2 linked regions of the Saccharomyces cerevisiae S288C genome follow. The gene in region 1 interacts genetically with each later gene. Each region holds a gene or a part of one and is shown on either strand. Other genes may lie near its edges.

Region 1 (4,007 bases):
CAAGTTCTTGTTAAACACTGGTGGTAAGATCTTACCGTCGGGGGCCTTAGCCATTTCATTAGATTGAATGTAGATGTCATTGAGAATGCGATTTAAACCTTCAATCGAAAACTTCGTGAATCTTTTTTCCTTTTCTTGCTTATCATTTTTAAGCCATGAGCCCCACGTATATTTGAAAAAGGCATCTCTCTTTGGATCATTGTCATTCGTTAGCTTGGTAAAAACTTCGTTTGGCTTATTGGAGATAAATCTCTTGGTGGCGGCGACGGTGATACATTTAATTGCACCCACTCTTTTCGAAGCTCCTACTACACACCTTCTGGAATGGCCAGCAACAGTGTACCTAATCATGCTTGGTCTTCGTATTGCTGTCTTGCTTGCTAAACAGCTTTTGCTACTTCTTCTTCGCTGATGAGAAAAGGGAGTCTACTAAATACAGTTCGGCTTAAAGTGTCGCTGGTCAGCAATCGGCCCGAAAATACATTGAACATTTGAAATTACCATGTTTCAAAACGAATATTTATTATAATTATTACTAGTAAAAGTTATACATAAGAAGGGAATAATACAAAGAAACGGGAAACAGCTAAATGTAGTATATAGCCGAAAGATGTGGACATATCCCAACAAATCGTCTTATGAGATCCTTTTTTTGTTTTATATTTTTTTTTTTTAGCGGGTATAAACGTATCATTTATATATTTTATTCTTTCCTTTAACTCTCAAAATTTGAGCAATTAGGTTACTGTGGTTCACGTGATTCAAGTGTGCACATTGCTGCTATGCTTTGTAGTATTATCCATAGAGTTTAGGGAGGGGGAATGGTCGGAGAGTGGGTAATTTGCATTGTCTAATGGAGCAGAATCAGCGTTACTTTTCTGGAAATAAAACTGGTCCGATAACGAAGTAGTAGAATCAGAGGTGAGATTGGAGTTGGAAGTGGTGTTGAGTTTGTAAAACTTTTCGGTTTGATCATGCGATACCTTGTATTTGTCATCCTTGTCATTCTTCTTTTTTTTGTTCTTCTTTTTGTTCTTAGGGTCTACCATATTGCTAGTCTTCGGGGTAGGAGACTTTGTTCCATTATTGTGATCATATTGTTTTCGAACCATGGAATTCAATAAATTAAGTGAATATTTCGGAATCCCATCTCTTTTGACATTAATCCCCTGAATACCATCCTTCGTGGCAATCATGGAGGCACCTGATGTGATGGAGCAACCTGAGTTCGTTCTCGTTATCCTATCTTCACCAGAGGCAATATTGGAAGGGCTCATTGATCTCTGATCTAAGTCCAGGTTAGTAGACCTGTTATTAGTGTAAATGGACTGATCATAGAGAGAGATGGCAGATGCAACATCTTTTGAGCTTATTGAATGTGATGAATCAGGCATTATTAACTATTCGCTTCCTTTTCTTATCTCAGCAGTTTGTGTTTTTTATTCTTATTGTTATTATCCCTTTTAACTATATATGCATAAGCTAAGTTAAATATTAAAATATTTATATATAAACGTTACAGGGCGTGTGAACACATTTGAAAAAATGCTGGAAGGTAATGGTAGATATAAGAATTGGAATAACAGGTTGATAGAGAATCGCCAAGCTAGAGAGTTCTGACAAGCGGCAAGGGGGAAGGATGAGACGCAGATACGAAAGCCGCACCATTAAACCGTAAAGAGAGAAAAATAAAGAATGACTTATTTCTCGGAAAGGCCAAATGCAATTATGCAACACGCACACATTCACACTCACACTCACACATAAACTTTGACTGAAACCAAAACTGTTGTGAGTAATAGCCTTTCTTGTTCATAAAATAGTACAAGATACAGTAAATATATATCAACTCACCTGGTATAGGGATCACTTACTGCACTGCAAAAGTGGATCGTTTGCGCAAGAAACTCCACCAATTCTAAAGAATATAATAGAAAAAGCTAATAGGAAAAGTGGTCATTTTCTGTTGATATGTTACATAGGATAAACCCAGTACGGTTTTCTATGCAATCTTGCCAAAGATACTTCTCGAAGTTGGTATCGCCATTGGAACAGCATAAAAGTAATACTTTTACTAATAGAGTCAGAATCCCCATTGAGGCAGGCCAACCACTGCATGAGACAAGGCCGTTCCTTATAAAGTCGGGCGAGTTGACACCAGGCATTTCAGCCTTGGAATACTATGAAAGAAGAATTAGGTTGGCGGAAACATTGCCTCCCAAAAGTTGTGTGATTTTAGCTGGTAACGATATCCAATTTGCATCTGGAGCAGTATTTTATCCGTTCCAACAGGAAAATGACCTGTTTTATCTTAGTGGTTGGAATGAACCTAATTCGGTCATGATTTTAGAAAAGCCAACGGATAGTTTAAGTGATACAATTTTCCACATGCTGGTTCCGCCAAAGGATGCGTTTGCTGAAAAGTGGGAAGGATTTAGGTCTGGGGTTTATGGTGTTCAAGAAATTTTCAATGCCGATGAATCTGCTTCCATTAACGATTTGTCTAAATATTTGCCCAAAATAATTAACAGGAATGATTTCATCTATTTTGATATGCTATCAACTTCTAATCCCAGTTCGTCCAATTTTAAACACATCAAGAGCCTGTTAGATGGCAGTGGGAATAGCAATCGATCATTGAATTCCATTGCGAATAAGACCATCAAACCCATCAGTAAAAGAATTGCAGAGTTCCGTAAGATCAAGTCCCCTCAAGAGTTGAGAATTATGAGGAGAGCTGGCCAAATATCAGGAAGATCGTTCAATCAAGCCTTTGCTAAAAGATTTAGGAATGAGAGAACTTTAGATTCCTTTCTTCATTACAAGTTTATATCCGGTGGTTGCGATAAGGACGCATATATCCCCGTGGTCGCTACTGGTTCGAATTCTTTGTGTATCCATTACACAAGAAACGATGATGTGATGTTTGACGACGAAATGGTTCTTGTAGACGCTGCTGGCTCCTTGGGTGGTTATTGTGCTGATATTTCGAGAACGTGGCCCAATAGTGGGAAATTCACTGATGCACAAAGAGATCTCTACGAAGCTGTATTAAATGTTCAGCGTGATTGCATTAAGTTATGTAAAGCTAGCAATAACTATTCCCTCCACGACATCCATGAAAAGAGTATCACACTCATGAAACAGGAATTGAAAAACTTGGGCATAGATAAAGTCTCCGGTTGGAATGTTGAAAAATTGTATCCGCACTATATTGGACACAATTTAGGTCTAGATGTTCACGATGTGCCTAAAGTTTCCAGGTACGAACCATTAAAGGTTGGACAAGTTATTACTATTGAACCGGGTTTATATATTCCTAACGAGGAATCATTTCCATCTTACTTTAGAAACGTCGGAATAAGAATTGAAGATGACATAGCCATTGGTGAAGATACTTACACTAATTTAACTGTTGAAGCAGTGAAAGAAATTGACGATTTAGAAAATGTCATGCAAAATGGCTTATCTACAAAATTCGAGGAGGACCAAGTGGCACCACTGTAATGTTATTGCTAAATTGAGTACACCCTGTATATACAGATACATAACTTATCGATTTAAGGTCTTTTAATATTAAACGGAAAATTCAAAAAAAAAAAAATTTACTGAAAATATCTTGAGATACTTTTCTTCAGCTTTCTTTTTGTTTTTTTCCTCTTCTTCTTGGGCACTGCTCTTTAGTTTTTATTTTTAGTTACGGCAAAATAAAGATGGGTCTAAAAATTACAAAAGGACAGCTGAGAACCAAGGATCTGAATCAATCATCCTCAAAGTCATCGCAGTCTTCAAGAATAGGTGTAGACACTTGTATATTTACTAGAATGCTACCCCGAATAAACACTGCAATTAATCTCACAGAGCATCTGCTGAGAAGATCTTTTCATTCACTGACAAATCTACAGAAAACTCAAGTAAAAGAAAGACTACATGAGCTAGAACGTCACGGTTTCATATTAAATAAAACATCCAAACAATTGGAAAGGATAAATTCTAAGAAAAGAAGA
Region 2 (4,351 bases), on another chromosome or scaffold:
AGAGGAAAAAAAAAAGGAACAATGTATGAATGGCTATAAGATCAGGATCAGTTAGGATATATTTTAATGTCTCTGAAAAAGCAGATACCAATAATCTTTGAAAACACGCATTACTTCATAGTTAATAAACCACCTGGCATACCTTCTCAACCACCAGACTGCAGAACATGGGGCAGGACACATCCTAATCTTGACCCTACTCCACTACTAGAAAGATTCAAGGCTATTTATTATTCACATAGAGAAGTAGAATTATGTCGTACTGTACATAGGTTAGACCATTGTGTTACGGGGGGGATGCTGATTGCAAAGACTAAAGACGGAAGTGTAAAATTCTCTAGATTTTTACAAAAGGGCGGCAACAACGGTTATAAGTTGCAAAGAAAGTATGTAGCTATTGTCGAGTCGTCCGGTCGTTTCAACAAACCAAATAACTATGAAATTAAATATGGTCCTAAATATAATTTCTTGATTTCACATGGTGGTAGGGAGATTACTAAGTTCAAAGAAGTTGACGAAAATTGTATTGTTTTACAATTGGTTACAGGAAAAAAACATCAGATTCGAAATCACGTCTCTCAAATTTTAAATCAGCCCATATTAAACGACAAGAGACATGGCAGCACTGTCAATTTTCCAGAGTTGTTCAATGACCAAATAGCGTTGCATTCAGCGTGCATAATAACGAAAATTGGCCTGCAAACTAAAACGCACTTGATACCTATGGAACACAATAATACTGGCCAACTTTGGTCAAGAAAATACGTCAATGAAGAGGGTGAGTTCACTTTGCCCATAAAAGAAGTCCTGTTGGAAAACTGGGACCAGTAAAATAAGCAATAAATAATCGGTTATTAAATTATTTCTAATACACATATATAACGAGAATAAAAAAGGTAGTCACCACTAACCAAACCATATTGATTAATTGATGATTACTGCCTCTTTTTTTCCACAGGTTTGTTATCCCATAATGATTTTAAAGAGGCAATAAGACCAGCTTCTTGACTCTCTAATTTATATATACCGACGAACGATAAAAAGGAGCCCAAGCTCAATAAATACATCGCGTAATGATGTACCTTTCCATAGACTCTTTCAGAAATATAGTCTATAATGCAAGACTGAAATCCGATATGACAATGACCTAGCAGGACCAAGGAAAGAAATGTGTCGGTAAAAGTGGAAATAGGGCCTGTAGTGACCAAGGGAACTGCGATCAGCGGAAGAACCGCTAAGGACAGTCCGCGCTCGACAATCCAATGGTACGAACCCTGAGCTCTGCTTTCGGGCGGCATATAAGAGGAATCATTTGCGGTCCCACTCACACCTCCAGGTTTCTGTGGAATCTTTGGCAGAAAAGGAATGGTAAAGGATCTGGCAATTGAAGTATGAAAAGCCCTTATTCTGCAGAGTGGTTTCAAAAACTTAGTCGATGACATTCCTACTTTCCTAAGAATTGGGGCAACCTTTTTGAGAATCGTTGCTGATTCATTAGAACTGATAAACGGTCTGTCCACTGGGGACTGAAAATATATAGGTTTGCTTCTATGAAATTCGACGTCAAAATTAAGGGATACCTATGGCCAGCGCCCTTCAACTGACGATTTTTAGTTATCATACGCGTCCCTTATTATCTTAAACCGTAATAAAAAATCGTTACTTCGGATAAGGGTACTCCAATCTGGATGTGAGAGTCTGATAGTACCATGTTAGAGCCGCGTTGAAGGTGCGAATCAGGGTTTTATTCTCCTTAAACTTGATCCCGTCCAAAGGAGTTAAGAAGTAAAATGCACGGCTTTACTAAGACTATATTTACGTATTAAATTCCTCAACACGTAGTGAGGAAAGCTAAAATGCTGAGCTTAATTTCTCAGCCAACAATGGGTGATACTACTGTTCAGTGCACAGATTAGATGACCAATATTATTTTCACGTATTTAGTGATATTCGTAATCGAGCTGGACTCATCTCTTTAGTAATAAGAAGTGAATTTGAACGCTATGGATAAATCATGATATCTTGCTCTCAGGCATCAAACTAGTGCGCAAAGTGATAGGTGATCATACAATGTTTTCAAGAACAGCATCCAAGTTCCGTAATACACGGAGGCTTTTAAGTACAATTTCCTCACAAATTCCAGGAACCAGAACCTCTAAACTTCCTAATGGGTTGACAATTGCCACAGAGTACATCCCCAACACATCTTCGGCTACTGTTGGAATATTTGTCGATGCTGGTTCTAGGGCAGAAAACGTAAAAAACAATGGTACAGCGCATTTTCTAGAACACTTGGCTTTCAAGGGTACTCAGAATAGGTCACAACAAGGAATTGAATTGGAAATTGAAAATATCGGATCTCATTTGAATGCATATACATCAAGAGAAAACACAGTTTATTATGCTAAGTCCCTACAAGAAGATATCCCAAAGGCTGTTGATATTCTAAGTGATATTTTGACTAAGTCAGTTTTAGATAATAGTGCTATTGAGAGAGAAAGGGATGTCATCATCAGAGAAAGTGAAGAGGTGGACAAGATGTATGATGAAGTTGTTTTTGACCATCTTCATGAGATTACGTATAAGGACCAACCTTTAGGAAGAACCATTCTGGGTCCTATAAAAAACATAAAATCAATAACAAGAACTGATTTGAAAGACTATATAACCAAGAACTATAAAGGCGACAGAATGGTATTGGCAGGTGCGGGCGCTGTTGATCATGAAAAATTGGTACAGTATGCTCAAAAATACTTTGGCCATGTGCCCAAATCTGAATCGCCTGTCCCGTTGGGATCACCAAGGGGCCCATTACCAGTTTTTTGTAGAGGTGAAAGGTTTATCAAAGAAAACACGTTACCTACAACACATATTGCTATCGCATTAGAAGGCGTGTCATGGTCTGCACCTGATTATTTTGTAGCTCTGGCAACACAAGCGATTGTTGGTAACTGGGACAGAGCCATTGGCACAGGTACAAACTCCCCCTCTCCATTAGCTGTTGCAGCAAGTCAAAATGGTTCTTTGGCTAATTCTTATATGTCATTTTCCACCTCTTACGCTGATTCAGGTCTGTGGGGAATGTACATAGTAACTGATTCTAATGAGCATAACGTGCAGTTAATTGTTAATGAGATCCTGAAAGAGTGGAAGAGAATAAAATCTGGCAAAATATCGGATGCAGAGGTGAATAGGGCAAAAGCTCAGCTAAAGGCAGCTCTGTTGCTATCGTTGGATGGATCGACAGCCATTGTAGAAGATATAGGCAGACAAGTGGTGACCACAGGTAAAAGATTATCACCAGAAGAAGTTTTCGAGCAGGTTGATAAAATCACTAAGGATGATATTATTATGTGGGCAAATTACAGATTACAAAACAAACCAGTTTCAATGGTTGCCCTAGGAAATACATCCACTGTCCCTAATGTATCCTATATCGAAGAAAAACTGAACCAATGACCACGCCGATTTATTAGTAAGTTCATTTCACATCTCTGCTAATTTCTAATTTCTCTTCATACTTGTATAAAGTTCTATGTCAATAAATTCTTGTTCAAATGAGATGTTGCTACATAAAAAATATGAATAGATATCGGCGGCTCTAGTACCCATTCCCCAAAACACGATGTCGGTATATTAACAGCACGTGTATTTTCTTTTTTGAAGGATACATTAATACTTTCTTCCTAAAACTGCACTTATAGTGGGGTGTGAAAGGGCCCTTCCCGTATTCAATATTAAAGCAGCCCTTCAGATTGCAAAAAATGCACAATAAATTTGTTAATATAAGCCACAAGCCAAAAAAAAAAAAGTGATGCAATTGTATATACTTAACATAAAGATTTTAAGTTATCCGTTACCATTGCATACAGAATTATCCAGATAATACTGTTTACTATGCTCATCGATCGTTTCATATTGGTCATTGCCTTGAAAAAAAAGCACGTGAAAAAAATACTGTGAGACCTTTTCTTGCAATATCTCGATCAGATAGCATCTGTAGCTTTCCATTTAGCTGAACACATCACACTGATCTGATAAACACCATTATATCTTCGGTATTATTTACTGAATTTTCCCTTATAGCAGCAAGGGAAAGCAATAATAAACGTGCTACTAAAAGTTTTTTTAGTCATCGCTCAATGGAGGTCAGCACAATACTGTGTGATTGGTCATAATAATTGCATTGTAGAATATCTGCCAATGAATATGTACCTACCTCTTCATATCTCTGAGCAGTAAATACCTCTCGATTTCGCTGCTTTTTCGCCAGGAACATTAAGCTGTGCAAAAAAATAAATCTTCGACTTCCTATATCCTGCAGCAGCACCAGTTGAAAACAACTGTAGCC

The links. A genetic interaction does not mean that the proteins touch.
Region 2: mutations in ICP55 (region 1) and MAS1 impair growth when combined (synthetic growth defect), as found in Saccharomyces cerevisiae (one study listed by BioGRID).

The regions. Positions count from the first base shown.
Region 1 is NC_001137.3:316,307-320,313, reverse strand, and holds ICP55 (aminopeptidase), read left to right. Parts: upstream 1-1,971; coding exon 1,972-3,507; downstream 3,508-4,007. Other genes in the region: AIM9 (Aim9p), read right to left, coding at 1-351; YER079W (uncharacterized protein), read right to left, coding at 762-1,394; YER078W-A (uncharacterized protein), read right to left, coding at 1,504-1,668; MRX1 (Mrx1p), read left to right, coding at 3,714-4,007. UniProt on the Saccharomyces cerevisiae protein: Aminopeptidase which cleaves preprotein intermediates that carry destabilizing N-ter amino acid residues after the mitochondrial processing peptidase (MPP) cleavage site and is thus critical for stabilization of the mitochondrial proteome.
Region 2 is NC_001144.5:490,974-495,324, reverse strand, and holds MAS1 (mitochondrial processing peptidase), read left to right. Parts: upstream 1-2,070; coding exon 2,071-3,459; downstream 3,460-4,351. Other genes in the region: pseudouridine synthase PUS5, read left to right, coding at 67-831; protein SHH4, read right to left, coding at 936-1,442. UniProt on the Saccharomyces cerevisiae protein: Catalytic subunit of the essential mitochondrial processing protease (MPP), which cleaves the mitochondrial sequence off newly imported precursors proteins. Preferentially, cleaves after an arginine at position P2.